Lonchura striata: one gene and its partners. The protein of the gene in region 1 purifies or fractionates together with the protein of each later gene. This does not show direct contact. Links are inferred from orthologs where the notes say so. Each region holds a gene or a part of one and is shown on either strand. Other genes may lie near its edges.

Region 1 (8,068 bases):
TGTGGTGCCAGAGAAGAAATCCTGTCCAACACCTGTGGGATAAACAGGAGGCACTGCTGTGAGCAGCCTGAATGCTCGGGGTGGATCCAGCCTGTCAGAACTCAAAGTGTCCCTCAGACATTTTTGGAGGTTCCAGACCCAGGTCAGAAGCAATTGAGACCCTGTCAGGCAGCTGGAAACAGCTGTGATTTTGAGTTTGAACATGGAATGATTTACCAACCTTGCAGGAAGAACAAGCAGTCAAAAAAGTTTAGATATTATAGTAGAAGTAGTTACAAAGTAGAGGGAAGAGTTTTTGAGTGCTGTACAGGGGGGTTTAAGTTTTGTACATGGGGGTCAGAGATTTTAAGATCGATTTGGGATTTGGGCCTGCCCTGTCCTCCCTCTTTCTCCTTCCTTACCTCCATGTTCTTGGTGATGTTGGCACTCACAGGTTGGTTTAGAGTAGAAAAGCACTTTGTAATATAGGTAGTAGGTATTGGGGAAAAACTATAAACATGTAACACATAATGTACCATATAAAATATAGAAAATCACCATTTAGTATAGGTAGTAGGTATTGGGGAAAAACTGTAACCATGTAACACGTAATGTACCATATAAAAGAGAGCAGCAGCCCTGGGTGGGGAGAGAAGAAGCAGTCGGGGTCAGAGAGGAAGTCAGGGTGTGTGTGTGCCTCTGCCTGAGCTGTGAGCAAACCACAGCAGCCCCAGAAGAAAATCTTTTAGATAACTCACAATAAACTGCCTTGAGACCAACAACAGAGACTGCTGAGCCTTTCCTTGGAAGCTCGGGTTGGAGGAGAGACTTTTCCACCACACAGAGCCACCCCTGACCCAGGGTGAGCTCCAGCACCAGCCCAGCCACCCTCGGGAGGAAATCCACCACCGAGCTTACAACACTCCCAGTGTTATCCACTTCCCCAGCCTTGAGGCACCATCCAGGATTTCCATTTCCATTAAAAAAAAAACCCCAAATGGGATCCCTGGGGGATGCAGGCACAGCATCAGCCAGGAGCTGCAAATCCAGCGCAGCACATCGGGGACATGCAGCCACCCTGTGACACTTGGGACGGCCTGGAATGGGCAGGGGAGGGTGGCAGCCACCCATCCAGGTCCCCTTTCCTCTCCCATACATCACAACTGTCCCATTCCAGCCGGAGGGCACCATGGGAGGGACACAGCGGCTCCGGGCCAGATAAAAGCTGCTTTGCAAGTTTTGTGAGTCCACAAAACACGCAGCAAACACACACCTGCCTGTGCTCAGGAATAGCCCGAGCTGGGTTCCTCCCATCAAAGGGAGCATTCATAAGAGAAGGAAAAAGGGAGAGCCAGAAACGAGGGAAGAGAAGGAAAAAAAAAATAAATCCAAATTTAAAACAGAGAAGGCAAATTCTCTTTGAAAGAAACATTCGGATGCACAAAGCCTGCAGGAGGTGTGGCTGCCCTGCCTCAGGAGTAACAAACCCCCAAGTTTCACAGCTAGCAAATCGCTTCTCTTCCTGCAAAACAATCATTCTCCTGAGCCCACGGGGTTTTTAAGGCAGCCTTCCCAGCAGAATCCAGAGTGTTTGAGCAGCCCATATCTCCCAAAGCTTTTATTTGCCTTCTGGGCTCTTTCTAAAGCCAGAGTTTGGGGTGCACACACAGCCAGGTCAGGTGTGCTCCATGGTGTGCTCCTTGTGCTGCTCCAGGGGACGTCCTGCATGATCCCCCTGGAACACCTCAGGGAGCAGCAAACCCCAAGTTTTATCCCCTTAGGCACCCTTGGGACAAGGTGGCCAGACCCTTGTGTCCCCCAGACAGATCTGGGGACACGTCTGGACAGTTTTGGAGTCTGTAACCAAAGTCCCCAAACCCCACTAATCCTCTGCAGCCAGGCGTGGAGCCCGGTGTCACCTCCTCTCTGTCACTGCAGTGCTGGAGCTCCCGGAGCTCTGGAAATGCCCTCTGGGTTATCTGGTTTTCTCCCACTTTTTCAGCAGTGCCCCAGCGCTGGATTGCAGAGAATCACAGCATCAGTGGGGCTGGAAAAGCCCTCTAAGCCCATGGAGCCCAACCATTCCCCCAGCACTGAGTCCCCAAGTGCCACATCCACGTGGCTTTTAAATCCCTCCAGGGATGGGGACTCCACCACCGCCCTGAGCAGCCGTGTCAGGGCTGAACAAACTTTTCCATGAAGAAATTTCCCCTAATATCCGCTTAAACCTCCTCTAGTGCAGCATGAGACCATTTTCTCTCATCCTGTCTCTTGTTCCCGGGGAGCAGAGCCTGAATCCCTCCCAGATCCATCCTCCTGTGAGGGAATTGTGGAGAGTGAGAAGGTCCCCCCTGAACATCCTTTTGTCCAGGCTGAGCCCCTTTCCCAGCTCCTTCATCCACTCCTCATAGAGTACTTGAGCTCTGATTTCCAGCAGCATTTGGGCAGCTGAGCTCGAGTTTACCTGAGCTCTCTCTGTCTCAGCCCAGGATCAGCTGCAGGGAGCATCCCAGAGCTGACCCCAAACATTCCCTATGTTCACATTAAGCAGAAAAAGATTTCTATTTGGGAAAGAAACACCAGTTCTCTCCCCTTCGGTGATATTCCTGCAGAACTCAAACCTATTCACTCCTAAACGCAACTGCCAGAACAGAAAAATAAAGACGGGTGAGACTAAAAAGCATTTCTTACAAAGTCCAGGCAGTATCTTCTGTCTTCCAATGCCAACTTATTATAACGGGCTTCTGTCTCACCCCGCAAGGATTTGGGGGCACGGGCAGGGCTGTGCAGCCCCCCGCGAGTCGCAAACACCCGTGGATCTCCCCGCAGTGACGGTGCCTCCATCACCCCTCGAACCAGCCGGGGCTTCCCGTGCGCCCCAAACCGCGGAGCTCCCACCCCGCCCTCCCAGGCCACCGGAGCACCCCGAACCTTTCCCCTCCGAGCATTCCTGTGCTTTATCCCCCCGTTCCCCCCGGGATTCCCCCGCATCCCTCACCGGCGTGCGGCGGCTCCGCGGCTGCTCTGGAGCCGCCCGGGGGCGGGGACGCCTCGGGGCGGTCCCGGCGCTGGGGACACCCGTGACCGCCCCACCCGCGGCGTGGCTCCCTTCGGCAGCGCTGCATCCCCCCCGGAGGATGCTAACAGAGACAATTGGGCTTTTCTCACGGTTTTCCTCGCACGGCGCTTCCCTGTAGGAACTCAAAATGTCTTAAGTTTGAGCTATAGAATGAATGACTAACTTTAAAGGTAGAAGAAGCAGTCACAAAGGGTTAGATAGTATAGCAAAAGTAGTTACAAAGTAGAGGGGGCAATTTTTTTAGTATTGTACAAGGGGGTTTTAACACATGTACAGGGGGGTTTTTACTTTGTACATGGGGGTCAGAAGTTCTAAGATAGAGGAAAGTCGGCTGATCCTGTTCTTCCTCCTTCTTCTTCCTTACCTCCATGTTCTTTCTAAGATAGAGGAAAGTAAGCTAATCCTGTTCTTCCTCCTTCTTCTTCCTTACCTCCATGTTCTTAGTAATGTTGGCACTCACAAATTGGTTTAAAGTAAAAAAAAAAACCACTTAATAATATAAGTAGTAAATATTGAGAAATAATTGTAAACATGTTATACGTAATATATCTTACAAAAGATAGCAACAGCCCTAAGTGAGGAGAGAGAAGAAGAAAACACCACAGTCAGGGTGTCAGGAGTGTGTGCATCCCTGCCTGGGCTGCTGATCAAACAGCCGCAGCCCGAGAACACAATCTGTTAAATAATCAGCAATAAATTGTCTTAAGACCGAACAACAAGAGGCTGCAGAGTTTTTCTTTGGAAGCACAGCTTAGAGGAGAGACTTCACCACCACACGAGACCCCAAAGCAAACCCAAGGTTCCCACAGTTCCCGTCTCCCTGCCCCGCCCGCCTGCAGCCTCTGCCAGATGTTCTTCCTCGCCAGATGTTTGCCCATGCGGCTCACGGCTCCATCCCCCCAGCTTTAGCGCAGCTGGTAAAACACCGATTGGATTTTAAATGGTGAACATTTTGTCCTTCGTTTTCACCCGAGGCAGCGAGGCGGGCAGAGGATGGGCTCTGGGAAGCTGCTGGAGGCAGCTGGAATTTCAACAAGCCCGATTTTATTTGAGGTTGAGGGTGAATCATCTCTGCTTTGCTCCATGGGCTCCAATGGAAAAGAAAATAGTGGTTTTGTGCTGAAATCCTGACCTGCTGCACTGTGCTGCTGGGAGAAGGGAAAGGGAAGGAAAAGAAAGGAAGGGAATTAGAATGGAATGGATTAGAATCAAACAGGAGAGAGGATTTCGGTAGGAAGACACCCACAATGAGCATCTAATCCACCTCCCTGACCAATTCAGGGCTGGCCAAGGGTTACTAAGGGACTCACCCTCTAATTATTGGTGTCATCACAGAGGTACAAAGTGCTGCTTTTAGCCAGCAGCTCACAGCAGCTCAGCTGCAGCTGATATCCAAAAAAAAAAAAAAAAAAAAGGCAAAAATATGTTGGCTTTGGCTCTGATTAATCCTAGTATAAATTCCTCTGGTTCGACTCTGCTTATTTAAAAGATTTTGCTTCAAACATTGACCAAAAAGATTGGCCTGTTTATTTTCCTGCACAAGTGCCCTAAGGTTTGTATTTTCAGAATTCACAGAATGACTAGGCTGGAAGGGATCTCAAAGATCATCGAGTCCAACCCAAAACATGATGATAAAGAAAAATATTTGACCAAGAGTCAGTGGATACAGAAGTTAACACCAGGACTAATTAATGCCTTAATTTAAATAAGGAATTATTTAAATTTTTATATAGTATAATATATAATGTATAATATATAATGCATAATGTATAACATATAACATATAATATTAATATATAACATATAATATTAATATATAACATATAACATATAACATATAACATATAACATATAACATATAACATATAACATATAATATATAATATATAATATATAATATATAATATATAATATATAATATATAATATATAATATATAATATATAATATATATTATATAATATATAATATATAATATATAATATATAATATATAATATATAATATATAATATATAATATATAATATATAATGTATAATGTATAATGTACATTATATAGTATATATTTTACTTTATATATGATTGATATATGATATATGATATATTATATATTATATATTATATATTATAAAATATATAGTATATAATATTTTATTATATATATTATTATTAAATACTATATTTGCTATATCAATAATATATTCATATTGTGAATATTTTATACATTTGTAATATAAAATATTATAGATATTTATTATTTCTATATAATAAAATATATTTCTATTATATAATATGTCTATAGTTCATACATTTTATTTATTTATTTAAATATTTAAATATGTAATTAATTTAAATAAACCAAGCTGCAGCAAGGATGATGAGTGAGGTTGGATGGGGCTTGGAGCAGCGTGATCTGGTGGAAAGTGTCCCTGCCCCTGGAACAAAAAGGCCTTTAAGGTCCCTTCCAACCCAGTGCCACGGCTCCGTGATTCAGCGTCCTCGGCGTGGCTGCTGGAGCCCTTTGCACACAGAGCCAGCAACGTTTCTCTTCTGAGTCATCCCATGGTGACACACAGGGACACCAAAGTGTGGCCACTGAGCTTCACAATTCTTCTCCCTGCGACCCAGGGGCGTGGAAAGTTGTTTTATTGCCAGGAGTCAGCAGAGCAGGGCTGGGCCACCCCGGCTTGCAGGGAGATGCAAGGCCCAGATCTCCCTCACAGCCTCCTGATGCCTGGCCATGCAACCCTGGCTCTTCCAAAGTGCCTGAAGAATTAGTCGTGCCTCAAAAATCAATATATTCCGTGGGTTTGATTTTTTTAAAACACTCCCAAGTATCTTATTTACTTTAGAGAGCCCTCAAAGTAAAACAAAACCCTCCTTGGTACCATGGATGACTTAAAGCCCCAAATTGCAAACCCAGGGGGTGGGAGATGGAGGACCCAGGGAGGTGGATCAGCCACGAGACCACCCCATTTCTGGGGGATGTGCTCTCAACTTTCCCTTCATTGCAGCTAAACACTCCAAGCACGAGCTGCTTTCCCCATTTTAGAATTCCCAGCATTTCTCCAAAGGCAAGAGCCAAAGGATATCTGACAGTGGCTGGGTCTGCTTGGGGGAGCTTGGAGTTCCTCACTGCAGCTGGAAAAAACAGGGCTGTGGAAAAACACCACACTGCAATAGAGAATTGATCTCCAAAAGGTTAAATAACTTTAAAACGGTATTTTCACACTGCTCAATGGGACATAATAGCCAGAAATCTGCTCCTCTTTTCCTGATGGTAAATTAATTGGAGGAAACCAATCTAGAGGGCAGGAAGCTCCACGGTGTGAGAGATCCGCTTCCCTTCCCAGAGCAGAGCAGCCCACAGCCACATTTCCCTGCCTTGTGATTCCCGTGGCCCGACGTGAGTGGGACTGGCAGCACCCACAGAGTGCAATGTTTGGGCTGCAGATCTGCCAGGGGGGCCGTGCTTGATTTTCAAGTGCTAAATCCAGCCCACCATCCCTGCCTGTGCAACCTGCCAGTCTGGGAGCTGTGACAGCATCCCCTCCTCGCTCAGGGCTGGGGATGAGGCTTCGAGGAGCCTTCATGGAGCCCTGTGAGAACCCCAGCCTGGTTCAGGGGTCCCGTGTGGTGGTGAAATTCCTCCTCCAAGCCGTGCTTCCAAAGAAAAACTGCTCAGGCTCTTGTTGTTTGGTCTCAAGGCAATTTATTGTGAGTTATCTAAAAGATTTTCTCCTCGAGCTGCTGTGGTTTGCTCACAGCTCAGGTAGAGGCACACACACACCCTGACTTCCTCTCTGTCTGCTGTCCTCTTCTTCTTCTCTCCCCACCAGGGCTGCTGCTGTCTTTTATATGATATATTACATATTACATGTTTATAGTTTTTCCCCAATACCTACTACCTATATTACAAAGTGCTTTTCTACTCTAAACCAATCTGTGAGTGCCAACATCACCAAGAACATGGAGGCAAGGAAGAAGAAGGAGGAAGAACAGGATCAGCCCACTTTCCTCCATCTTAGAACTTCTGACCCCCATGTACAAAGTAAAAACCCCCCTGTACAGGTGCTAAAACCCCCCTGTACAATACTAAAAATATTTCCCCTCTGTTTTGTAACTACTTTTACTATCCTATCTAACCCTTTGTGACTGCTTGTTCCACCTTCAAAGTTGGTAACTCATTCCATGGCTCAAACCCAAAATCACAGCTGTTTCCAGCTGCCTGCCAGGGTCTAAAATACTTCTGACCAAGGCCTGCAACCTCTAAAAATGTCTGAGGGACATTTTGAGTTCCAACAGAGCCCCTCATGGCACTTCCTGAGGTGTCACTGCAGCTCCAGACCCGAATTCCTGTGGCTGAGTCACCTCTGACTCTCCTTGCAATAAAAAAGGACAACACAGCAAAATCAGGCAATGGGAATCTCCTGTGTGACTTGAGCAGTATCATTCCAGGACTTCTGAGAGCAGGGATTGAATAGCCCCACTGTCGCCCTGATTCTTAAGATTTTCTAAAGCCTTCTGAGTTTACATTCTGTTAGAAAACTTTCCCACACATTTTCTATAAACAATGTATTATTTTGCATTCCTTCGTGGGGTTGGAGGAAGTTGATGTACTGGTGGTTTGTCCAATGTCTTTGGAGAGGTGGCACCTTCACTCTCCAATCCACTGTCACCTTTGGAAAAGTATAAAAGTTGGAGTCAGAGAATAAACCTTCTTCTTTTTTACCTTGATATTGCAGTGGCTCCTGTTGTGCTTTCTCGTGTCCTATAGCAACACCCCACTCCTCCTCTTCCTCCTCCTGCAGCCTTTTTGGGGACGTGGTTCATCCCAGAGCTTCCTTGGCTGCATCACCATCTCCCCCTCCCCAAAAATCTCTTTGCACTGGGGAAAAATTCCATCAGAGGAAGGTTGAGAACTTCAGCAACTCGAGTTCGATGGCAAAGAAAGGAAAATCAGTGGCTAAGGAGCACCACCCCTGCTGCTCACACAGAGTCTCATGTGTAC
Region 2 (7,596 bases), on another chromosome or scaffold:
AGCAGAAACACCATTCTGAGAACCTTCCCCTCGGGTTTACAGCAGCACCACGGACCAGGCTGCAGCTTCGAGGAAAACATGAGCAACACAGCTGAGAAAAGCTGTCTGTCCCAGCTTTGCAGGAACTCTTTTTGCTACACTGACTGGTGGAAGTTACTTGATCGTAATGATAGTAAAAGGGTTTTAAAATCATGGAGATTTGGGGAGTTAGAAGGAAAATTAAGCTTAGTAGGCCCTGGGAAAATACCCTGGGAAAGTATAGGCCTTGTACTTGCTAGAACTGCACCTGTGTAGCCAGTATATGATAAATGATATAATTGTTAGATGTGATGATTGTTTAGAAATTAAACATAATTACTGTTTAATCATAAGAATAATCATGAGAACCTGTAGTCAGAGGCTTGAAAAACATCACGAGAAACTAATGGTTGAATAAGATCAATGTATACAATAGAACAATATAAGTTTAATAATTAATATGTAAGTTTCTATAACGATAGAATATAAAATACGTTCAGCTCGAGAGCCATGTTGGAGTCAGATTTGGGGCTGTACCCCTGATCCCAGAGCTCCCAATAAAAGCACCTGCACCGTGATTATGTGTGCTCCTGAACAGTAACACTAACTCTACAACACTTCTAAACGCAGGCACTCAACGGAGAGTTAGAAACCACACCTTCCAACTTCAGAGAAAAGTAAGTATTGCAATTCAGTTTCCGATTTTCCACAAAGTGATTCTGCTAAATAAAGAAACCTCTCATTGTACAAGAGCTCTCCACCCAAATTCTATACACACGTTAAAGCTGAGAAATTCATTTGGTCATGTTTAAATGTAATTAATATTTTGAAAGGTGACTGTGCCAACTAAAGTACGTAATATACAATTCATCCTTTCCTTTGGGGAAAGAGGACAAATCTTATCAGCACACAAATCCAGCCAAAACACATCTACAATGTGCTCTGGCCTCCCAAGAATGTGGCTCTGGGATGGACTTTATTCTCAGATACACAGATAGGTAGATAGAGATATACACAGATATAGATATACAGCTATATAGATATATACTCATCTCCTCAGCAGTTTTCTACATTCCTATGCAGGGAAAAGGCACCCAAGAGGGCCCCAAACTGCACTCCAAGGTAAGTGGCATCCTGTAGTATATTTAACAAGAGATAAGCCAGAAAAAGGGAGAAGGGGAAAAATTCAGACCTCGGCAGAGCTCCACTGATTATTATGGCCCAGAAAGGAGTATTTCTTTTGCTTCACCCTACATAAATCACTGTGAATTATCTGCAAACCCAGCCAAAACCTGCTTTCTTTGAAATCCTAGGGGAAAAGCCTCTACAAAATCCAGCTACAAGAGCTACACTTCCATTGGCAATGGTTCTTCTTTTGCTCTGTTCCTGCCATTATTTATCTCCCATATTTAACTTTCATAAAGTGTTCTGGGGATAAGCAGTCAGTTTTGAAAAACACCTTACAAGATAAAGCCATATTAAAGCTATTTCACTTGATGGGCTGAGGCTGGCTCAAGCAGAGCTAATGCACTGGGGACACACAGTCCTGGGCTGTAATAATGTTTTACATTTATATACTGCCTTTTACCCAGAATTTAGAATACATGAAATGCCAAAGAAAGACAAATGCAAACTGCACAACAGAGAACAGAGGTATGTTTGACAATGATTCTGTGGTGGATTCTCCCTCTTTCAAAGAATTCATGGCAGTTCTGGTAACTGCTCTAACCACAACTCAGTGAGCCAACAGACACGCAACTGGACTTTCAGTTTAGTTAGAAAAGCTGCTCAGCAGTACCTGAGCATATTGAAATTCTCCATTTGTAAAGCAGAAATTACATTTCAACATCCACAGCCAGCACACCGCCTTAGCACAGGGCTGTAAAAAAAGCACACGTAGCAGAGCGTTCCAGTTGCTGCTGAGCTGCAGGTCGCCTCTCACGTGTGTTCTGTGCAGCCCCTGGGCTCTGCAGTGATGACCCAATGAATGACAGCACTGTGGCGGGTCCCTGTGAGGTCATTTGACAGGTTGTGTCCTTAGGAACAGCCAGGTGATGTTTACCAGGGTCAGAGCAGCTTCCCCCATCATGTGATGCAGCACGAGCCTGCACAGAAATGCCACTCAAGGGCAGTGCAGTGCACAAATACCTGAAGGAGAAAATCTGTCGGTTCTGCAGCCTTCCTTTACCACAGAAAGGCAAAGGCCTCTGACACTGCCTTAGAAGGCCCATGTCATCCTCGTCACAGCTAAAATGTGTGTCTTGTACTTCATCTGATGAGCTCTGAGGTCAAATTAACTGGGTACAAACTCACCAGCGTGGACAATTAACAGTCCACTTAATGGCCATTAAGTATTCAACCCAAGTCCTCAAGACGGCGATGGCTTAGCCAACTCAGACACCACAGCTAAGGCAGGAAAACCAGGAAAGCAAGGCTGGTAAGGGATCTGACACCGCACAGGCACCAAAATGACACCGAACTGAACAAGCTGCAGTGCGCAGGGCACAGAGCTGGTGCTGCGGTCCCTCCGAGGCTGAGCACCTGCAGAGAGGTCAGTCGCTCGGGCACTGCCCACCCACCGAGGCAAGCCCCTGTGCCACCCCCGAGCGCTGCGGCCGCCGGACGATACTGGACCTGGTCTGCCCCGAACGGGGTGATGTTGGCCTTGACCGAGCCGACGCCCAGCCCCACGAGGACCAGTCCCACGAAGGTGGCGGTGGCGCAGTAGCGGGCGGCTCCCACCTGGGAGCAGGGCGCCGGGGTGGCGTTGGCCGCCGGCGAGGAGCAGTTCTCCACGGGGAACAGGGGGATGTCCCCGCAGAGGCCCTGGCGGGTGTGCGGCGCGGCGATGACGGGGAAGGCCAGCATGCCCAGCAGGTACAGCGCCATGCTGAGCAGGATGGTGCCGAACTTGCCCAGCAGGGCGTCAGCCAGCCAGCCCCCGAACGGCGACACCAGGTAGGTGATGCCCATGAAGAGCAGCAGCGCCTGGCTGGCCTGGGCGCCCTCCCAGCCGTAGGGCGGCCCGTTGAGGAACAGCACCAGGTTGGAGGTGATGCCGTAGAAGGCCACTCGCTCCAGCAGCTCGGCCAGCAGCACGGCGGCGCAGGCCAGCCGCCGGCCCTGGAAGGCGCCGCTCGCCGCCCGCCCGCGCTCGCCGCTGCCCAGCAAAGGGCTGCGCTCGCCCGGCTCGGCCTCGTCCATGGCCCCGCGTCCCCCCGGCCCCGCCGCGGCCGCGCCGCGCTCCCGGCCCGCCCGGCGGGGCCCGCCCCCCGCGCAGCGCCGCGCCGCCATTGGCCGGGGGCGCTGCCACTCCGCCGGCGCCCGGCCCCGCCCCCGGCAGCGGCGCGCTGCCATTGGTCGAGAGCGCTGTCACTCCGCCCGTCCCGCCGTCATGTGCCGCAGTGGGGCGCGGCGGGGCGGAAGTGGCCCGGCCGTGAGGGAGCCCCGGCGGGCGGCACGGTGCCCGTCAGAGCGGGCAGGAGGCTCCTCGCGGTGCCCGTCAGAGCGGGCAGGAGGCTCCTCACGGTGCCCCTCAGAGCGGCCGAGCGGCCCCTCACGGTGTCTGTCAGAGCGGCCGGCCCGTCTCCCCTCCCGGTGCCCCTCAGAGCGGGCAGGAGGCCCCTCGCGGTGCCCGTCAGAGCGGGCAGGAGGCCCCTCGCGGTGCCCGTCAGAGCGGGCAGGAGGCCCCTCGCGGTGCCCCTCAGAGCGGCCGGCCTGTCTCCCCTCCCGGTGCCCCTCGGAGCGGCCGAGCGGCCCCTCACGGTGTCTGTCAGAGCGGCCGGCCTGTCTCCCCTCCCGGTGCCCCTCGGAGCGGCCGAGCGGCCCCTCACGGTGTCTGTCAGAGCGGCCGGGCGGCCCCTCGCGGTGTCTGTCAGAGCGGCCGGCCCGTCTCCCCTCGCGGTGCCCCTCGGAGCCGGGAAGCCGGGGTGCGGCTCCTCTCCCGCTTTGTCTCCGCTGCCGCAGGGAAGTGGGCTCCGACAGCAGCCCCGAACCCTTGGGTCCCCGAGGAAGGGAGCTCCGCAGACCGCCCTGCCAGGCAGGCTCACCTGGCGCAGGTGCGCTTGGAATGCCTGCAGCAGCTGCTCCGGTGCTCTGCCATCCTCAGTGAAAGGAAGATCTTCACGGAGAGGCGGAACTTGGGCTTTAGTTGATGTGTATTGCTCCTCATCCTGTGGCTGGGCACTGAAAAAAGCCTGGCACCAATATCTCGGCCTCTGAGATATTTATATGCATTTATGAGATCCCTTCTCAGCCTTCTTGAGACTAAACAGACCCAGCTCCCACATTCTCTCAGAGATGCTCCAGACCACAAATCATCTTTGGGGTTTTTAGGGTTATTTAATGCTGTAGTTTAAGGTTGTCGCACAACAAGGCCTTTCAGCAGGAAAAGGTGATAAATGTGCACTGTAAAAGGCTGGTTTTATATGTGTTTTTATGTTTGGGCCTGGCTCAGCACCCAGGATGTGCCTGGTGACTCAGGGGTGGGAGCAGCAGCTGGGTGTGAGGGCATGCAGGAATTACGCAGGTGCACATGGAGAATGACCACTCTGATTTCAGTGGGACAAAGCATGTGGTTAAAATGGGAAAACATAAATCAGCGGTTGCAAGATTACAACCCTGAGATGTGCTGCAATTACACATGTTGAGGTAAACGTTGTGAATGTATCACATTGTCTTCAGCAGCAGATCTTAAAGTCTTATTTTTGGCCAGAACAAAGTGGGTAAGACATGGCTGGTTGTGTGTTTTCAGTGAGAAAGTTAAATTTATTGACATAATGTGGTTACATACCAAACATTTAGGCATGACTTACTTTGGAGCCATGTTGGTAAGGGACCAAGTGATGCTTGCAAAAGTAAATATATTCGTTCAATAATGGGCCTTTGTAAATAACATATGCCATAAAAATGACTCATTAAATATATTTGCTTTCTTAAGCAGTTAAGAAATTTCATGACAAAGGACAATGAGGAAAAAGCAACCAGCTGTACAGACATTTCCTTGTGAACTACTGTAACATGACTGATTCTGTAACAAAATTACATTTTCCTAACTTAATACAGTATTGTCATATTAGCTGTGATTGCAGTTTCTGAGGAGTTTAGTAGTATTTTCTGGAGACTCAAAGTAATGAGGCACACTTTGTATTATTGTTATTTTCATGTGTATTTCATATCTATTTCTTATTTTCATGTTTTAGACCCTTCATAAATTGACCTTGGTGAGTGAGGTGAGATTTCTACACTGACCTATCCCACAACTGGTACGAACACCTACCAATGCTGAGCAGTAGTTGAAATGTACATTAAGATGTTACCTAGCTCTTCAGGTACAGAGGTGCAGGCACTCTCCCTGAAATCCACACCTCACTGGTAGAACCCATACATTCTCTCTGGAAGTGCAGCAGCTGAGGAAGGAGGTTTTCGTTTCCCTCCAATCAATCCTTAGCTACAGTGTGTTTCGAAGTTCATTGTGATACATCCACGACCGTCTGTGCACACAATGAATGCAGCTGTGTCTATACAGGAAAACATTCGTGCCATGTCCATGTTTCCAAGATACAGTGCTGCACATTTCCAGATTATTTTTTTTTAGGCAAGGCCTATACAGCATAAAGCCAGAGTTACCATAAATAGTGATAAAATGTTAAGATCTCTTTGAATGTTTCCTTTATTTCCTCCTTATTTCTCAGGTGACTGGTTGAGTTTCCTCATTTCTCATGGAGCAGGCTTTGTCTTACTTTAACGTTTGCGTTTTTGTCTTCTTTGTGTTGCACACTAAAGGTGTAGGACATCTTTTGTTAGCACAAAACGTGGCTTTCTGAGCCACAGGCAGACACCCTGCTTCGGGGTACGCCTGGAGAATCTCCATCCTCAGTGGCACAGGCTGCTCTGGGCACACAGTGCCAGAGCTGCCTGCTGACACCCCTGGATGGGGAGTGAGGAGATTGTGGAGCCAGGAGGGGCCGCGGGGCGGCTGTGCAAGTCTCACACAGCCCGTGGGACACCTTCAGCTCTGGGACAACCGAGAAGCCCAAATGTGCTTCACGTGGGCCGCTTCGAGGCTGGAATCCTGGCCAGACTGACACAAGCCCTCCACATCTCAGCAGGAGTGGGATTTCCTGCCAGTAACACTCCCTAGAATGGTGACACAACCATTCTAGAACCAATGGTTTGGTTCTGCCTACCCTTAGATTAGCGTTTACCCTATTTTTAGCATTTCTGCAGGATTTGTTGCTCTTCTAGGTTGCAGCCAAAATTTTTAGTTCCGGTGGAATTTGGCCTAAAGAATGTTGTGCTAAATCTAAGTGATATCTCAGTGAGATGCAGCTAACACAGCTCTGCAGCACTAAGATTCATTAGCAAAACACGGGCCTGCCTAGCAAAATGTTTACAGTTTGCCAGAACCCACTCCAGTGTGTGTCTTTACAAGTTCTAAACCCTCAATTCCAGAACACCTGTTAGCCTCAGAAATCCACACAATTTATTGGAAGAAGTACTGTTTCAAATATCATTAAATTCAATATTCTTCAGCATGCAGCATGTTTTTCTCTATCTACCTGACACTGAAATTTGAAGAGTAATTTAGGCCAAAATAACAAGGCACTGCAGTTTTTGAAACCCACTTTTCCCCATCTTCTCCAGCCTTTGGGGAAGCTAGCATCTGTGTGACCCTGTGGTGAATTACATCAGGCAACCAGGTTATAAGCAAAAAAGAGAGTTTTCTGTCCACTCAGCCCCCCCTCTCATCACCACCAATGTCCTGCACCTGGTCTCAATACTTTTACAAGACGTTGAAATAAGTTGAGGTGAGAATCTGCCATCAGCCACCTGTTTCCTATTAATGTCCCAACGAACTCCCCAAACTGGCCTCTCACCTTCCTGCCTGCTGCCCCGAGTTTGTGGCTGTAGCTGCCCTTTTATCCTGAACACTGGCTTGCTGCTTTGGGATGTGCTTTTCTTCATCTGGAGTCCAGGTTTGTTCCTTTTTCTTCCCTGTTTTGTTGTATCTTTGGGTTCTGCTGTTGCTGTGGTTTCTTGCCTTTTCCCTGGTCTCACGGACCTTTGGTTCTGCTTCTTTATGTGGCTTTCCTGATGCTGGGAGTGGTCTTCGACCATGCCATTGCCTTATTCTTCAGACTAATGCATTCCTCTGGCTGTTCTGGTGGTTAGGTATTTTCCTATCGGCATTCCTGCACCGAGCATGAGGCACCTCCTGGGTGGCATCGGGAGGCAGAGGCTGCGATGCTCTTCTCGGGAGCCCTTAGAATTGACAATCTGAGCATGTCATCTCTGTGCCTAGCGAGGACACAGCGCGGTGCCGAGCTGTGGAAGGCACCCAAAGCTCTGGCTCGGTAGCCAAGTGCCCTCTGGCCAGGCTGGCCCATCCCGCAGGGCCGGGGGCCGCGGCCGCTCGGCCCCGCTCCGCGGCGCCGTTTCCGGGGGCCGCGGGCAGGTGAGGCGGCGGCGGGCGGAGCGGAGCGGCCGCTATGCGGCTGCTGCTGCTGGCGTGTCTGCGGGCACAGACCGGCAACGCCACCACGGCCGCCAGGATCCGGTAAGTGCCGCGCTGGGAAG
Region 3 (7,901 bases), on another chromosome or scaffold:
TTGTATCACCAATCAAGAATGTCTTGAGAAAGTTTGAGAGGAAGTTGGCACAAAGAGTAGAAAGAAGGCAAGTTACTAGAGAAAGTCTTTTCCGTGCAAAAGCTGAAATGTATTAAAACCAAAACAGATCATGAGCATGCCCCAATACAGAAAAATATACAGAAAAAAATTAAATTAGCACATAGATCTGGAACAGCAAGCCCATGAAGAGCCTAAGGCCAGTGGATGATGATGATGATATAAAGAGCCCTCACAGAAGAAAAGGCCCTATCTGGTAGGCAAAGTGAGTGGTTGTCATCAGCTTGCACTTTGGAAGAGAAAGACTTAAAATTACAGTTCTTCTGCTTGGCAAAGAGGCACACAGGAGTGAGATCTAGTCTAAATAACCAGGACAATCATAATGGCATAAAGTGTTTGCATTTTCCAGTGTTTCACATTAGTTATCAAATGAGCCCTATGAAATATCTGATGAAGCTGACAAATGGCAAGTTCAAAGTAGAAAAAGTTTGTCAAAGGATATTGAAAACCTCCACAGCTCCTCCCTCCTCCCTTTCAAAAGAAAAAAAAAACAATTACAAATGTTCTGTGGTAAACAATCTTGGCCAGAATAACAGTAATTTATTGCTTGCTTTTATTTAATGTGTTATGTTATTTTCTTTACCAATTACACCCAAACTCTACTGCAATGCTATTTTAAGCAGTGGCATGTAAGAAACCATTTAATTATGAGCTTAAAGTGAATATTCTTTTATTTTTCTCCTCAAAGTGTATTTCTTACTGTTGATGACATTTTAATTGGCATTTAATGGGAATTTGTGTGCTTTTTTTTTATCCCTTACAGCTACAGAATCGTGCACCTTTCTCAGGGTGAGAGAACTTCAGGGTTACATGAAGTCCCAGAACCCTGATGAAATCTTGGTTCATTTTCCTACTGCTGCTGTTCCCAGCTTCTCATACAGTGGTAATTCCCATTCCTCATCTTTTGGATCCTTTTAATTCTGAGAGGCTTGTATTTTCCTCATCAATCTTTTTCTCAGTCCTCCATTCCCTTGTCTTTCTTGGGGGCTGCAGTAGCATCCTCAACTTTTTGTTTTCTTCAAAGCCAGTATTTAGAGTTATCTCACATTCATACAACCATGGAATCACAGAATGTTAAGAACTGACTCCAGGCAGGCCATGGGCCTTGCAGTTGTAGCCAACAACACATCCACTAGTCCATGAAGACTGTCCTTTAAACTATCTAAATATTGCAGTATCATCCCACCATTATCAACTGCATAAAATCCATGGGATTTCACATGCTGTTTCTCTCCTCTGCTTTCACTTATTTATGTGGGGAACTGACAGAAGTTGACATTTCCAAGTCTAAACTGTTTCCAAACCTCTTACATATGACATTCTATGCAGATGTTGTTGGTAAAGAACTGTTTATATCTGCTTATTAAAAATGTAAGGTGGATTTTCTTTGCATATCATCTGTTGTTTAGGTGCTGTTTACTTTCAGTTCTGAACAGAAATCTTTTATTTTGACTCATTCCCTTCATCATCCACTGTTTTACAGGTCTTTGCACCCTGAAAAAAAGTAAAAATTTCACCATGGCCTAATTTTTTATTTTCCAGTTTGCACACAGATTTTATTTTCTTTACACACTCAAATATTTTCTCTTTTTTCTTTTTAAATTTGTGAGTCTATCCAATAATGTCTCAAACTATTTTGAAGTATACGATTTGTTCTGTTTTTCTAGAACAGTGTTTAAGCAAGTAAGGATCGGTGTACCCATCTTTTTAACCTACTGAGGCATCCTCAGCTTTTTTAGGCATGTACACATCCCTAGAATTGAAATACTTCTTCCTCTAATTGTTATGGAAAAGCAAGCTTTGTTTTATGGTTCCAGTCATTTTCTGTTGGATGACGTCACCAGGTTTGTTGTTAATTGAAATAAAACAGTAGAGGTGTGCTGAGATAGAAAATGGATGTTGGCACTCAAGAGTTTGCTAGGCAGAGGGGGAAAATATACAGAACTTCACATCAAGGGGGAAAAAAATATATTTGGAACCCAGAAGTGCCAACTAAAATGTCACTAACATAAAGAGGTGGCATTGTTCAAGATGCCTGACTGAAGTGCATGTTTGCTTGATTACTTTTAGCACCCTAAATGAGGTAAAAGTGTTTTGGAGACACAGCCCACCTCTCGTGATATTCTGTGAGCTGCTACTTTCAAGTATAAAGACAACAAAAATGCACAATGAAAAATCATTGTTGAGTCCCTGTTTAAATTCTCTCTGTGGAAGCTGAAGTATTTTACTCCCATCTGAGGTTTCTTTTCACAAAGAGCCAACTTCATATGCTTTAATGGATTATCCAGGCACTTATGTTCCAGTGAGAGCGAGGAGGCAGAACGACTTCACTTTTCAAATTAAAGAACCACGTATGCTTCTGGAGAGAGAATAAACTTTAAGAGAACAGGGACAAAAAGCTGCAGCAGAGGAGACAGAAAAAGGCATTACTGACATTAGATCTATTATGCAAGTGGTTTTTACAGTGCAATTGGCAGAGATCCAGAGGCTGGAAGGTAAAAAAAGGGGATCCATGGAGAGATGTGAAGGAGTCCAGGCGGGTGAGGGGTTCACGGGTGTCTGAGGAACCAGGGGGTGTGTGAAGGGGTGCAAGGGGTGTGTGAAGAACCAGGGAGCGTCTGAGCAGGTCCAGGGGCAATGAGCATGATGGGGGCACTGGAGCATCTCTCATGAGGACAGATGAGGGAGTTTGGCCTGCTCAGCCTTGAAAAGAGGCAGCTGAGAAAAAACATCATCCTTGTTTATAAATATCAATAGGAGGGTGCCAGGGAGATGGTGCAGTTTGGTGATGGTCAATCACCAGGGTGAGAGAAACGGCAGGGACTGATGCACAGGAACATTCCACCTGAGCATGAAGAACTTCTTCCCTGTGCAGTGACCGAGCACGGGAACAGATTGTCCAGGGAGGGCGCGGAGTCTGTGTCTCTGGAGTCATTCCAGAGCCGTCTGGTCACAACACGGTGCCATGTGCTTCGGGATGACCCTGCCGGAGCGGGGAGATCGGCCCAGATGACCAACTATGGTCCCTTCCAGCCGGACCCAGCCTCGAGATTCTGGGTGGTGGCTGAAGAACGGGGGGTGTGAGTGGGTTCGTGGGGTGTGTGAAGAACCGGGGGTTTGTTAGGGGATCTGGGTGTGTGTGCGTGAGCAACAGGAGGGATCTGAGGGGATCAAGGGCATACGAGGGGTCCGAGGGGCTGTGCGAGGCACCAAAGCATGTGAGAGCTCTGGGGGTGCGTGTGAGGGACCCAGGGGGTGTGTGTGTGACGGATCAGGCGGTGTCTGAGGAGAACCGAGATCTGAGGAGATCAGGGGGTGCACTTGAGTCTGGGGGTGTGTGTGAGGGACTCTGAGGGGAACTGAGAGGATCTGGGGGTGTGCACGGGAGGCCCTCGGTGCGTGAGGGGCTCCAGGGGTGTGTGAGGGGATCCGGGGTGGGTATGGGAGCTCCGGGGCTGTGTGAGGGGCTCCGGGGCCGTGTGAGGGGAACCGGGATGGGTATGGGCGCTCCGGGACTGTGTGAGGGGCTCCAGGGGTGTGTGAGGGGAACCGGGGCTATGTGAGGGGCTCCAGGGGTGTGTGAGGGGCTCCGGGGCTGTGTGAGGGGAACCGGGGTGGGTATAGGAGCTCCGGGGCTGTGTGAAGGGCTCCGGGGCTGTGTGAGGGGCTCCGGGGCTGTGTGAGGGGCTCCGGGGCTGTGTATGGGCGCTCCGGGGCTGTGTGAGGGGCTCCGGGGTGGGCATGGGCGCTCCGGGGCTGTGTGAGGGGCTCCGGGGCTGTGTGAGGGGCTCCGGGGCTGTGTGAGGGGCTCCGGGGCTGTGTGAGGGGCTCCGGGGCTGTGTGAGGGGCTCCGGGGCTGTGTGAGGGGCTCCGGGGCTGTGTGAGGGGATCTGGGGCTGTGTGAGGGGAACCGGGGCTGTGTGAGGGGCTCCAGGGGTGTGTATAGGAGCTCCGGGGCTGTGTGAGGGGACCCGGGATGGGTATGGGAGCTCCGGGGCTGTGTGAGGGGCTCCGGGGCTGTGTGAGGGGCTCCGGGGTGGGTATGGGCGCTCCGGGGCTGTGTGAGGGGAACCGGGGTGGGTATGGGAGCTCCGGGGCTGTGTGTGAAGCTCCGGGGCTGTGTGAGGGGCTCCGGGGCTGTGTGAGGGGCTCCGGGGCTGTGTGTGAAGCTCCGGGGCTGTGTGTGAGGGGCTCCGGGGCTGTGTGAGGGGCTCCGGGGCTGTGTGTGAAGCTCCGGGGTTGTGTGAGGGGCTCCGGGGCTGTGTGAGGGGCTCCGGGGCTCTGCGCGAAGCTCCGGGGTGTGTATGGGCGCTCCGGGGCTGTGCGCGAAGCTCCGGGGGTGCCCCAGGGACCCCGAGGGCTCCCGGGGGCTGCCGAGGGGTCCCGGCTCCGCGAGGCACCGCGCGGCCCCGAGCGCCCCGCCGCTCCTCTCGCGAGACGTGGCGGCGGCCGGCGGGGCCGTGCCGGGCGGGATCGCGGCGCGCCCCCCGCCCCTCCCAGCGCCGCCGCGGGGCGGATGCGGCGGGGCCGCCATAGTGCGGGCGGGAGGAGCCGCCGCCGCCCGGCCGGGGACGCGCTCCCGCCGCCCCCTCCGCCGCAGCCGGGAGCGGGCGGAGCCTGCGCGGCGCCGCCGGTTTTTTCCCCGCCGCATCCCTGCCGCCGCGCCAGCCGAGCAAGCGGCCGCGCTCCCGCCTGGGCTGAGCGGGGTCGGGCGGAGGGACCGGAGGCAGCAGCGGCGCCGTCACCTGGCGCTGCGGCGGGGGCGGGGCGCGGCGCTGTGTCTGCGGCAGCCCCGGGGCGCCGCTCGGCCGCTTAAAGCAGCGGAGCCGCCGGCTGGGAGGGGCGTTCGGAGCAGCGGCGGCCGCGGAGCGAGGGGAAGGCATGGAGGGCAAGGAGCTGGCGGCGGGGTCCACGGGGGATGAGGGCTCCAGGGATGCGCTGGGCAAGCCGCTGGGTCCCACGCCGAGCCAGAGCCGCTTCCAGGTGGACCTGGTGGCCGAGGGGCCCCGCAAGTCGTGCGGGGACATCGGCGCGGCGGGCAAGGGAGGCGAGGAAGCCAAGGGCAGGTTTCGGGTGAACTTCGTGGACCCGTCGGCCGGCGGCGAGAGCCCCGGCGAGCCCGGGGGAGGCAGCTCGGAGGGCGGCAACGTGCAGAACGGCGGCGACACGGTGATGAGCGAGGGCAGCCTGCACTCGGGCGGGCACCACCACTACTACTATGACACCCATACCAACACCTACTACCTGCGCACCTTCGGCCACAACACCATGGACGCCGTGCCCCGCATCGACCACTACCGGCACACGGCCGCCGACCTGGGCGAGAAGCTGCTCCGGCCCAGCCTGGCCGAGCTGCACGATGAGCTGGACAAGGTGAGAGCGGCTCCCGGGCTCCCCCGGCGCCGGGGGTGCGGCAGCTCCTCGGAGCGCGTCGGCAGAAAAGCTTAAAAAAAAAAAAAAAACAAACCCAAAACACGAAAGCTCGCCGAGCCTCGAGCAGGCGCATATAGCGCGGGTGCATAGCTTGCGTCTCAGTTCTGTTACATATTTATTTTTTTTTGTCTTTTCCTGACGCAGTGGAATCCATCCCCCCACGAACACGTGCTTTTGGGAGATGGTCCCCCAGTGCCAGAGGTATTTTCCGTAGGGTTGTTTTCCCTGTCACCGAGCTGGGATTCTCTTACAGGTTTTCCACGTCCAAATCGCCTCCAACAGATAGCGTATTGATTCGGGGGCTCGCCATGGGAACTAGTGTGGGGAGGCGAGTGAACACATTTGGTAGAGACGCTAAAAAAATGAAGTAAATAAATAAGGATGCGCTTGCTTTGGTAGCGGCCGGAGGTTTGTCTCTGCGGCTCCGAGGTGGAGCCCGCTGGATCCGATGGGATCTGGATCGGATGCTGCTGGATCTGCACAGGCACAGATCCTGAGCCAGCCTTCCCAGGGCTGCTCCTGTGCCGCGGTCAAGGCTTGAAAAATTTCGGAGCTGTGCGTCTCAGGCTTTTTCTATTTTGGACTAGGAGTCCGTGTGTTATTTGAGACGAGTTGACAGTGAGAGCCTTCTTTGCATTGCAGGCTGGCTTGGCTAGAAGACCAGCTGTAACTGAACGTAGAATTAATTTCCCGGGCTTATTTTTTTTTTTCTTTAACTATCGTCACTAAACTAACTCCAGATAAAGATTAAACTCTTGCAATGCTGTTTTCTCACTGTTTGAAAATTGGTGTATGGCTGTGCTCAGGAGCCAGTGTTTTTAAGTGAGGTCTTTCTGCTGGGTTTAGGGAAATAAATGCATGGGCCACATTCCAAGGAAGTGAATATTTTGTTTCCAGAACTTTTTTTTTTTTTATCACACTTTTCACTGCTTATAGGTGGAGTTCCTTGAGGAAATGTGTATTCTTTCCAGATTTACCTGTTTCACACCATTATTAGGCTTCTCAGTGCATCAGCACTGATGTGTGAGGTTTGGGGTTTTTTTGGGGGAATGGTGGTGATTCTTTGAGTGTGTTTTTGACACTGACTGTGGAACTGTTCCAGTAGAAAGAGCTGGTTGGTGCATTACAAAGATACTTGTTTGTGACATCTGAGATTAGATGACAGATTTTAATTACTAACCATAACTCCAAATTACTCCTGCCTTCCAGGTCCCTTTTTGATGGCCTAAATGATGATCTGTGGTCTGGTTCTAAGATAGCAGTAATTGCCAATTGAGATTTCATACTATGTGTTTGGACTTGGGTAAACTATAAATAACACACATATATGTGTGCTCGTAGTACATTGGTCTTCTGTCCTGCTGCTCCCCCAGATTTCTGATTCCTGGTCCATGATAGGATGACCAGGTGTGTTGGATACTCAGCTTTGTAAGCAGAATGTTTCTCAGATTTCTAAGCTTGGCAGATAGATTTTTCAGTGTGTTAATGTTGCAGCACTGTGGAAAGCTCTTTGATACCATTAAAATATTTCAGTGCAGAATATAGCATATTCTGGACCTACAGCTTCTAAAATTGCAATTTCTTTATTAAGAAGAAATTAATGGCAAGGAATTTTCTTTGTAGTCTGTGGCACAGAGGAGTGGTAGACAACCTAATTACAGGATCATTATCAAAACAGTTTCATAGCGAGTATTAATTAATACAAGTTATTAATTTCTTAAGTGTCATTAATTCATTCTGCAGTGTGGATAGATGTACATGTGAAGATACTTCTTTTTTTAAAGCCATGCCCTCTCTGTTTGGGCCTCTCTTCCCATCAAGTGAATATTGGGGTGGAATATGGAATTTTAGTTGTATTTGGTATTAAGTATTAATTTTTAAAGAAGGTCACAGTGTCAACTTCAGAATTTTAAGCTGAAGTTCAATGGAGTAACTCAAGTGTTCTATCGCAAGATGTTTACTGTCCAAAGCCATTATGGTGTTAGCAGCTACTTAGGCTTATAAGAAGAAGGGAACCATTATTTTTGCTTCCAACTTAGCAAAATACTTTCCAGATAAAGCTGTGAACACAAAAGCTTTTAATAAGGGTGTGTTCTGCATGCTAATAGCATCAGATACCTACGTTCCTGGCAATCTCATGGGAGTATGAAATTCATCCCATCTCTTGATTATGTGTATTGTTTGTGAATACAGAGCCCTGATAACTTTTAAATCAGGAGTGTGCTGTACTTTTATTTGGAAGATGTTCTCAGAGCTGATGTGCTTTTTTTTACTGTTTCCAGGGGTCTTACTGTCTCCATTCTCAGAGTGAATTAAGTTCCTGCTGAGTAGCAGGTCTCTATTGTTGAATAATTCTGTGCATTTGAGAAAAGTAACTTGAAGAATTATTC
Region 4 (7,695 bases), on another chromosome or scaffold:
GGGGGCATCTCTCCATCCGAGTACCAGTCACGGTTGGCAGAGTGGGCGTAGGCGGCGCTGGGTGTGGCGTGGGTCACGCGCGTGGTGGTGACGATGCCCACGGCCTTGCCTGAGCCACCAGTTCAGGGGACAACGGTGAGAACAGCCCCAAAGCCGCCCGCTGGACCTCCTGCCCAGGATCTCCTCTGTGCCTCACCTGCCTCCTTGGCCCAGCGGAGGATGGAGGTCACCTCCTGGCCCTTGGTGGTGTTGCAGCGGTCCCGGGTGACACCGGCGCTGACCCCCAGCGTCCCCTCGTTGGCTTTGACACCGCAGAGGTAGGCGGTGGCCGTGCCTGCGCTGTCGGGCACCTGGGCATTGGTGTTGTAGGTCTGGAAGGTGGGAGATGGATAAACCCCCATCGTTATCGCCACCGTCATTGTCTCACCACTGACGGCACCACCATTCCCACCCTGGGGCTTCCCTTCCTGGGCTGTTTGGCTGCACCAGACCCCCATCCCACCTGTGTCCCCTCTCTTTTGCCCTTTGCCCCCTATTTTACCCCCTACTCCCTCCACCGTGGTGGGACATCCCCCCCTCCACACTGCATTTTGCTGCTTTTAGCCTTTTTTCAGTCCATCTTTTGGCAGGGAGATGGAAGCCACAGCCACGGGCATCCCCACGGGGTGAATGGAGGGGGCCGCCGACTTCAAATTTAATTATTATTTTACAATGTTTCGTTCAGCAAAACGACCCCAGGAGAAGCAGGGGGGTCCCGTGGCGTCCCGCAGGCGTCGGGCTCCTCCTGCCCCCCTCCCCGTTCCCACGGCCGGCCCCTGGCACGGCCAGCGGGCACCGGAGCCAGCTGCCTTCGCTCGCCCATGACCTAATTTCGGCTCGTTCGATGCCGCCCGCCCGTGACCTCGCGGTGGGTGTCGCGTCCCCGTGGGTGCCCCGCGGGGGCTCACCTTGGCCAAGGCCACGAAGGGGAACTTGTCCATCTCCAGCAGGCTCTCCTCGCCCTGCCCGTGCAGCTGCCCTTTGAGGATGCGGGCGGCCGTGACCGTGGAGACGCCCATTCCTGCGGGACACCGTCAGCCAGCCCGGCGGCCCCGGGCAGCGCAGCGCGCTCCGCGCAAACCCCGCTCATCTCTGCTCACCGCACACCCCCTTTAGCCCATCGATCAGTTTATCCCATCATCCAGTTTATCCCATCGTCCAGTTTATCACAGCAACCAATTTTTTTTGCAAGCCCGGTTTATTGTGCAGCCAGTTTATCCCAGCTCCCAGTTTATCCCAGCAGCCACTTTTCATCACAAAGGCAGTTCATCACAGAGCCCAGTTTATTGCAACACCCAACTTTTTTGCAAAGCCAATTCATTCCTGCACGCGGGTTATCCCAGCACTCAAGTTTTTGGCAAACCAAATTTATCCCAGCACCCACTTTATTGCAATCCCAGTTTATGCCAGCACTCAAATGATGGCAAAACCAATTTACCTGAGATCCAATTTTTTGCCAATCCACTTTATCCCTGCACCAGGTTACTGCAATCCCAGTTCATTGCAGCACCCGGCTCATGCTGCCACCCAGTTTATTGCAACTCAGTTCTCCCTAGCACCCAATATTCATTTCAAACCCAATTTATTGCAGCACTCAACTTACTCTAAGTCTTGTTCATACCAGCACCCAGTTTACCCCAGCACCCAACTTAACACAAACCAAACTGATTGCAGCAACCAATATTTTTTGCAAATCCAGTTTATCCAGCACCCAGTTTGTTGTAAACTCACACTATTTACCATAGCACCCATTTTTTTGCAAATCCAGTTGATTGAAGCAACCAATATATTTTCGCAAATCCAGTTTACCCAGCACCCACAAAATAAACTGAGTCTACTGTTAACTCAATTTACCACAGCACCCATTTTCTTTGTAAATCCAGTTCATTGCAGCAGCCAGTTTACCCCAGCACACATCTTTTTCGCAAACCCTGTTCACACCAGCACTCAGCTTACAGGAACCCCAGTTTATCCCAGAACACAACTCACCACAGCACCTATTTTCCCACGACACCCAATGCGTCAAAGCCCCAGTTTATCCCAGCACCCACTTTATTGCAGCCACTTCATCGCCCCCCCGTGCCCCCCAGCCCCGCTGCCCCCGCCCGGGGTGGGTGCTCCCCTCCCATCTCACCGTCCCCCAGGAAGAGGATGAGGTTCTTGGCCACGTTCTGGTTGAGGCGCTGGAGCCGCAGCGCGTTCCTGAGGGTCTCCTGCGCCTGCCGCCGCCAGTACTCGGGGTCCTTCTCCCTCTCTGCAGGAGAAGCGGGCTCCTAGCACCCCACGGCAGCACCTTTGGGGTGCTGCCCCTCCGAACCTCACCTACCTGGGACCAGCGATGCCGAGCAGAGGTGGGCGAGGAGGAGGACTAACAGAGCCTTCATCCTGCGGCGCTGAGCGGGGGCTGCCAGAAGAGAGCTGCGAGGTGGGTGGCACCCGCTCGTGCCTCAGTTTCCCCACTGAGACCTTTGGTCCGGGGTCAACCAAGCGAGGACAGAAAAAATGTCCCCTCCCTACACAGTAACCGATGTGATCCCCCTGGGGACATGCCAGCTTACCCCGCCTCCCCCGTGCCTCCCTAGTCATGAGTCCCATGAGGTGTCACCTCACTGCCACCAACCCGAGCTGGGGGAAGCCAGGATGGTCCCTGTGGCACAGTGAGGTCCCCATCACGTGTGTGTTCCCCTTCCATGTCCACGTCCCCATCTTGTGCTTGTGTACCTCTCATGTGTCCCCATCATGTGTCCCTGTCACCTCCGTGTTCCCATCCCATGCCCATGTCCCCACTGCACATCTGCAGTCCCAGCACACACCCGTGTCCCCACCGCATCCCCTGTGTGTGCCACGTCCCTGATGTCCCCACCACACACCCCTGTCCCCATCCCCATCACAAACCCGTGTCCCTGTTGCATTTCTGTGCCTGTTGTGCACCCGCGTCCCCGCATGACCGCGTCCCACGACACATCCATGTCCTTGCTGCACGTCCGTGTCCCCATCCCATGCCCGTGTGCCCACCACATGCTCGTGGCCCCACTGCATGTCTGTGTCCCTGTTGCACGCCCAAGTCCCTGCAGCATCTCCGTGTGTCCCCGTTGCACACCCGCGTCCTCACCACGCTCCCGTGTCCCCATCACCCCCACATCCCCCCAGCAGCTTCCCTCCGCTGCACGCCCCCTCACCCCGCGCTCCCGGAGAGCCTCCCTCCCCCGGGATGGCAGCGGTGGCCCCCGGGGGGGTCCTTACCGGGGGTGGGGGCTGCCACACACGTACCCGCACTAACTTGGGTCCCTACACCCACGTCCCTCTGGGCGGCGGGAGGAGGCCGGGCCGGGGGGATCGCGAGCCCTTAAATCCCCCCGCACCCGGCCTTAGCCTCCTCCTCCTCCTCCCCTTCCTCCACCCTCCCCCTGCTGCCAGCAAGGGGGGGGGGGGGGGGGCGGGGGGAGAAAAGGCCACAAACTGGGCTTACTGGTGCCCTCTGCCGGGTTATACTGGGAGAACTGGGAGGACTGGGGAGCACCAAGCCTGGCTATAAGTGCTGAGAAACCCTCCCTCGCTTCACACGTGGGAGTTTGGGGTGCCTCTTGGTGGGGTAGACGTGCGCTTTGCCGGATTTTGCATTATTTTCACCCAAACCGTGCTAGCGGCACCGGCGAGGGGTTGGGGTTGGGGTGGGGGTGATGGAGATGAGTGGGGTCTTCCTGCCTCAGTTTCACCACACGGGCTCTTGCAGCAGCCCGCGAGAGATCCCTGGTGGGATCCCGTGGCATTACTGTAGTTCCTACAATAATCACGACGCGGTGACGAGGGCGGGGGGAGTGGGTGACTCTCAGCCCTGCCTCAGTTTCCCCATGGAGGAGGCCCGAGCCGCTCCGTGACCCGCGGAGCCGCCCGTGGCCTCCCAGAAGGTGGCGGTCTCAGCCCAAAAATCGCCGGGACCCTCGGGGTGCAACCGAGGGAGCCCCAACACGGCCGCGATGCCAGAGGACGGGCACGGCCCCTTGCGGACGCTCCAAATCCCTCCGGAACCCTTTCCCCTTTCCCCTTCCCCCGTCTCTTCACCCCTCTGCACCCCCCAGCACTTTCGCAGCCCAGCAGAAGCCATTTGCATCCCGTGGGTGTGATGAGCGCGTCAGTGCTCAGCCCGCCGGGGCAGCGCAGGGGGCGGGAGGTGGCACCGCGTGTCCCCATGCCCGTCACCACGGCAGGGCACGCCGGTGCCTTTCGGCGTGGGAAAGCTCACGCTGGCACACTCGCGGAGCTGCGGGCACGCACGAGTGTGTGCAGCTGCAGGCGTGCAAGCAGCACACGCGCTTGCACGACTGCGCCGCGTGCCCGTCCACAAGCACGCGTGGGGCTGCTGGTGGCCTCCCCGCGCTCGCCCACGCGTTTGCACGAGCGCGCTCGCCCCGCGTTGCTTTCGCCCTTGCACAAGCGGCCGCCGCCGGCATCGCGCCTTGCACGCTCGCCCCGGGACGCCACATCCCCTCCGGCCAGGGAGCCAGGGCTGCCTCGGGGGGATGCTGCCGGCAGCGCCGGGGCACGCGGGGCCCCCCAAACGGGGCTTGCGGCCCCCCGAAAGAGTTAAAGGAGGCGTGCGGGAAGCCCGTCCCTCCGCGGCCCCATTGGTTTCCCATCCCAGGTACATCCTTTGCTCGTCACCCTCGCTAGGCCGCGGCGGCGTCACGAGCGGTGCCGGGGCTCAGCGGGCGCTCGCCCCATCGGGGCCGGGCCGGCGGGAGCGGGGTAACGGCCATGGTGAGTGAGGGGGCCCGGCGACACCCCGAAATCTGGGGGTGGTTGAGTAGGGGCCGCTTGGCCAAAGCGGGGCGCCGGGTGATGTATTTGCCGTGGGATGCTCTTTGTAACCCCATAGGACCCCCCCACTGCATCCCGGGGTACCCCCGGCGTCCCCGCTGGTCACCCTTTGGATCCCCGAGGATCTCCGTGAGACCCTCATTGGACCCTTAAGCGGTCTCCCATTGCATCCCAAGGACCCCCCTAAGACACCCCCAGGGACCCCCGCTGCACCCCCGAGCACCCCTGGGTGCCCCACTCGGGCCCCCCCAGCGGCGTTTTCTTTGTGGCGGGTGGGGTCAGCAGGTGGGGACCCCAAAGTGGGTGCCCCCCTCTGGGTGCCTCCTCAAGCCCCTCGGCGCCCCCAAATCCACTCTTGACCCAGACCCGCGGGGGTTTGCACCTTGTTTCCATCGGCAAAGGGAGGGGGGCGCCCCCCACCCAACTGAACCCACTCTTGTGGGGCTGTTTTCGAGCACCCCCAAACTGGGTTGTACTTCTCCCTATTTATTTATTTATTTATTTATTTTCGGTAAAGTTTAACTCTTTTTTGAGTGCTTTTTAAGCTTTTCTTTAAAAATTACTCAATCTGCACAGTCAGGGTTCCCTACACAACTAGGAGCTCCCCCAAAACCCTGATTAACACCGGCACCCCTGATTAACACCAGAAGTTGCTAATTACCCCCCGGACATCCTAATTAGCAAGCTGAGCCTCGCTGGGCGCTGGCTGTAGAGGTGCGGGGGCACCCATGGGTGCTGGGGGGTGGGGCGGGTGGGCACCGCTTTGCCAGGCGGGGCTTTGGGGGTGACTTGGGGGGCTCAGGGTGGTGTCGGGGCGTCGGAGGGGCTGGGGGAAGGCGAGGAATCGCCATGGCGATCGTGGCTGCGGTTGCTCCGAAATGGCGCCCGGACGGGAATTGAAAGCAGCCGGCGGAGGCGCGGGGTGCCCGGTACCGGAGCGGGGCTCCCCCGGCGGGGCAGAACCGGGCCCTGGGGGACCCCCGGGCCTGGCTGGGGGTGTGCGGGCTCCGAGCACGTGGGGCTTATTGTTTATAGAGCGAAGGAGAGATTTGGGGTAAAAGCAGGGTATTTAATGCCGGGGTTTTTGTAAGTTGTATAGAGGGTGAAACTCCCGTGCGCGGGGGGTTAAAGTGTGGGTGTCCCCCCACCCTGTTGGAGCGGGGAGAATGCGTTTTTATTAGGATTGAAGTAAATAACGGCTTGGAGAGGGGAGTGTGTGACAAAATCTATCCCATTTTTCCCCCCAAAAAGGGGTGCTCCTGCTTCACCTGCTGGAGAGGGTGAGGAGCACCCCGAGGTGCTACTATGTCCTCAGTGTGAAGGATATGGGTGTTAAAAAAATACCTCCTGGGCCCAGTTTCCCCTCAAATTAAGGATGCTGGGGGTCGATCCCAGTGCCTCTCGGAGGTGTTTGGGGGAACTCGGGCTCAGTTTGGGTTCTCTAATGGCTGGTACCGGGTTGAGCCAGCACATCTCTTGTGAAAGGAGAACAGAAAGGGATTCATTTTTTTGTCTTTTTCCTGGTTTTCGGGCTGGGGTAGGCAGGGTGGGGGATAGCTGAGGAAAAAAAGATTGCATTTCCTCAGGAAATGGAGTGAAAGCTGGGATTCCAGGAATTTGGTGTTGCGGAGCCGTGGAGGCTTCATGAATCCCCCCCACCGTGTGAGCGGTGATTTGTGCGCGGAGCTGCCAATTTCAGCCATGTGCGAAGTACTAAAATAGGTGGGAAAAAAAGTGAAAGGGGTTGGGAAAAAATAGGATCTAAACAGAGATTTTCCCCACGATAAAATCTTGCAGTTGAGGCTCTTTCGTCTCACGGTTCTCAGGCTCCAGGCGGGCGCCCAGGGGAGATTTTGGGGCCGCAAACAGAGATTTCGGTACAACCAAGGAGGGAAACCACATCTTTGTTTTAACCCTTTTTCTTCCCCAGGTGGGTTTTGTGGTTAATTAAACTGAGGCTGGGATTTGGGATCCGGGGAGAGAATGAGACTTGTTATTAAGCGTGCAAAGGGAGGTTTGGGAATGCTGCTATTGGAAACAAACCGGTGCTTTCATTCTGCCAGGAGAAATTGAGGCTCGGCTTTGCGGGGTTTGGATCAACTCATCCCTTTGGGATTGATGGCAGCGGGATGGGGGCATCCAGATGGGTTTAAACCCCCTCCTTGTGCTGATTGCGGGTGAAGGGTTCTGAGTGGTGCCGCTCGGGCCATCGGTGGCAGGGTCAAGGTGGATTTTGGGGTGCTCAGCCCCTCGGTGGGGAGTGGAGGGTTGTTTGCTCCATCGGGAGACAATCTGGCTGGATGGCAGGGCAGTGCCAGGGGGAAGGAAGCAGCGGCGGCAGCGCGATAAGGGCCGGCTGCCAACCCGGGAGGTTTTCCTTGTTTTTCTGCCGGGGATGAGATAAGAGCCGGGCACTGGCACAAGATAATGCCCGGAGGACACGGCGCCGGGAGGGATCCCGTCCACAGCTGAAATTCCTGGTGCTGTCTCCTTTGGGTGCTCGCAGGGACTTCTCCGGCTGTTTCAGGGTGCGCGGGGTTCGCAGATGGGGCGTTGAGCGCGAGCGAGCCGGGAGTGTCAGGGAGAAAAGCCATTTTCTCTGCTGCCAGCCTCTCCCAGGTGCCTGGCACTACGGGATTCCCTGGCACAGGGGGGTCGCTCTCCCCACTGCAGGGCGGAGGTGGATCCGGCTTCATTCCAGGCTGAAGGGGAGGTTGCACAACCCGGCCCCGGGGGAAAGTGAGGCGGGTTCGGGCTTTGCTCAGCTCTTGGCTCCGGCCCTCTGTGCTTTCCATAACCATCCTCCGGCTTTGTGTAGTGCTCTGCTACCTCGGAGCT

The links.
Region 2: the proteins of LGALS3 (region 1) and SLC15A4 purify together in Homo sapiens (affinity purification with mass spectrometry; 3 studies listed by BioGRID and IntAct, counting the BioPlex papers as one, with this or other methods). This does not show direct contact. The link is inferred for Lonchura striata from reciprocal best matches to the Homo sapiens genes LGALS3 and SLC15A4.
Region 3: the proteins of LGALS3 (region 1) and SLC12A2 purify together in Homo sapiens (affinity purification with mass spectrometry; 3 studies listed by BioGRID and IntAct, counting the BioPlex papers as one, with this or other methods). This does not show direct contact. The link is inferred for Lonchura striata from reciprocal best matches to the Homo sapiens genes LGALS3 and SLC12A2.
Region 4: the proteins of LGALS3 (region 1) and ECE1 purify together in Homo sapiens (affinity purification with mass spectrometry; 3 studies listed by BioGRID and IntAct, counting the BioPlex papers as one, with this or other methods). This does not show direct contact. The link is inferred for Lonchura striata from reciprocal best matches to the Homo sapiens genes LGALS3 and ECE1.

The regions. Positions count from the first base shown.
Region 1 is NC_134608.1:3,560,152-3,568,219, reverse strand, and holds the start of LGALS3 (galectin-3), read right to left. Parts: upstream 3,036-8,068; 5' UTR 2,978-3,035; intron 33-2,977; 5' UTR 1-32. UniProt on the Homo sapiens protein: Galactose-specific lectin which binds IgE. May mediate with the alpha-3, beta-1 integrin the stimulation by CSPG4 of endothelial cells migration.
Region 2 is NC_134620.1:14,451,149-14,458,744, forward strand, and holds the start of SLC15A4 (solute carrier family 15 member 4), read right to left. Parts: upstream 3,243-7,596; 5' UTR 3,223-3,242; coding exon 2,653-3,222; intron 1-2,652. Other genes in the region: GLT1D1 (glycosyltransferase 1 domain-containing protein 1), read left to right, coding at 7,509-7,576. UniProt on the Homo sapiens protein: Proton-coupled amino-acid transporter that mediates the transmembrane transport of L-histidine and some di- and tripeptides from inside the lysosome to the cytosol, and plays a key role in innate immune response.
Region 3 is NC_134642.1:83,894,492-83,902,392, forward strand, and holds the start of SLC12A2 (solute carrier family 12 member 2), read left to right. Parts: upstream 1-4,810; 5' UTR 4,811-4,959; coding exon 4,960-5,451; intron 5,452-7,901. UniProt on the Homo sapiens protein: Cation-chloride cotransporter which mediates the electroneutral transport of chloride, potassium and/or sodium ions across the membrane. Plays a vital role in the regulation of ionic balance and cell volume.
Region 4 is NC_134626.1:6,143,570-6,151,264, forward strand, and holds the start of ECE1 (endothelin-converting enzyme 1), read left to right. Parts: upstream 1-4,564; 5' UTR 4,565-4,794; coding exon 4,795-4,797; intron 4,798-7,190; exon of another isoform or gene 7,191-7,385; intron 7,386-7,562; exon of another isoform or gene 7,563-7,695. Other genes in the region: ALPL (alkaline phosphatase, tissue-nonspecific isozyme), read right to left, coding at 1-109, 197-371, 948-1,060, 2,174-2,293, 2,366-2,423. UniProt on the Homo sapiens protein: Converts big endothelin-1 to endothelin-1.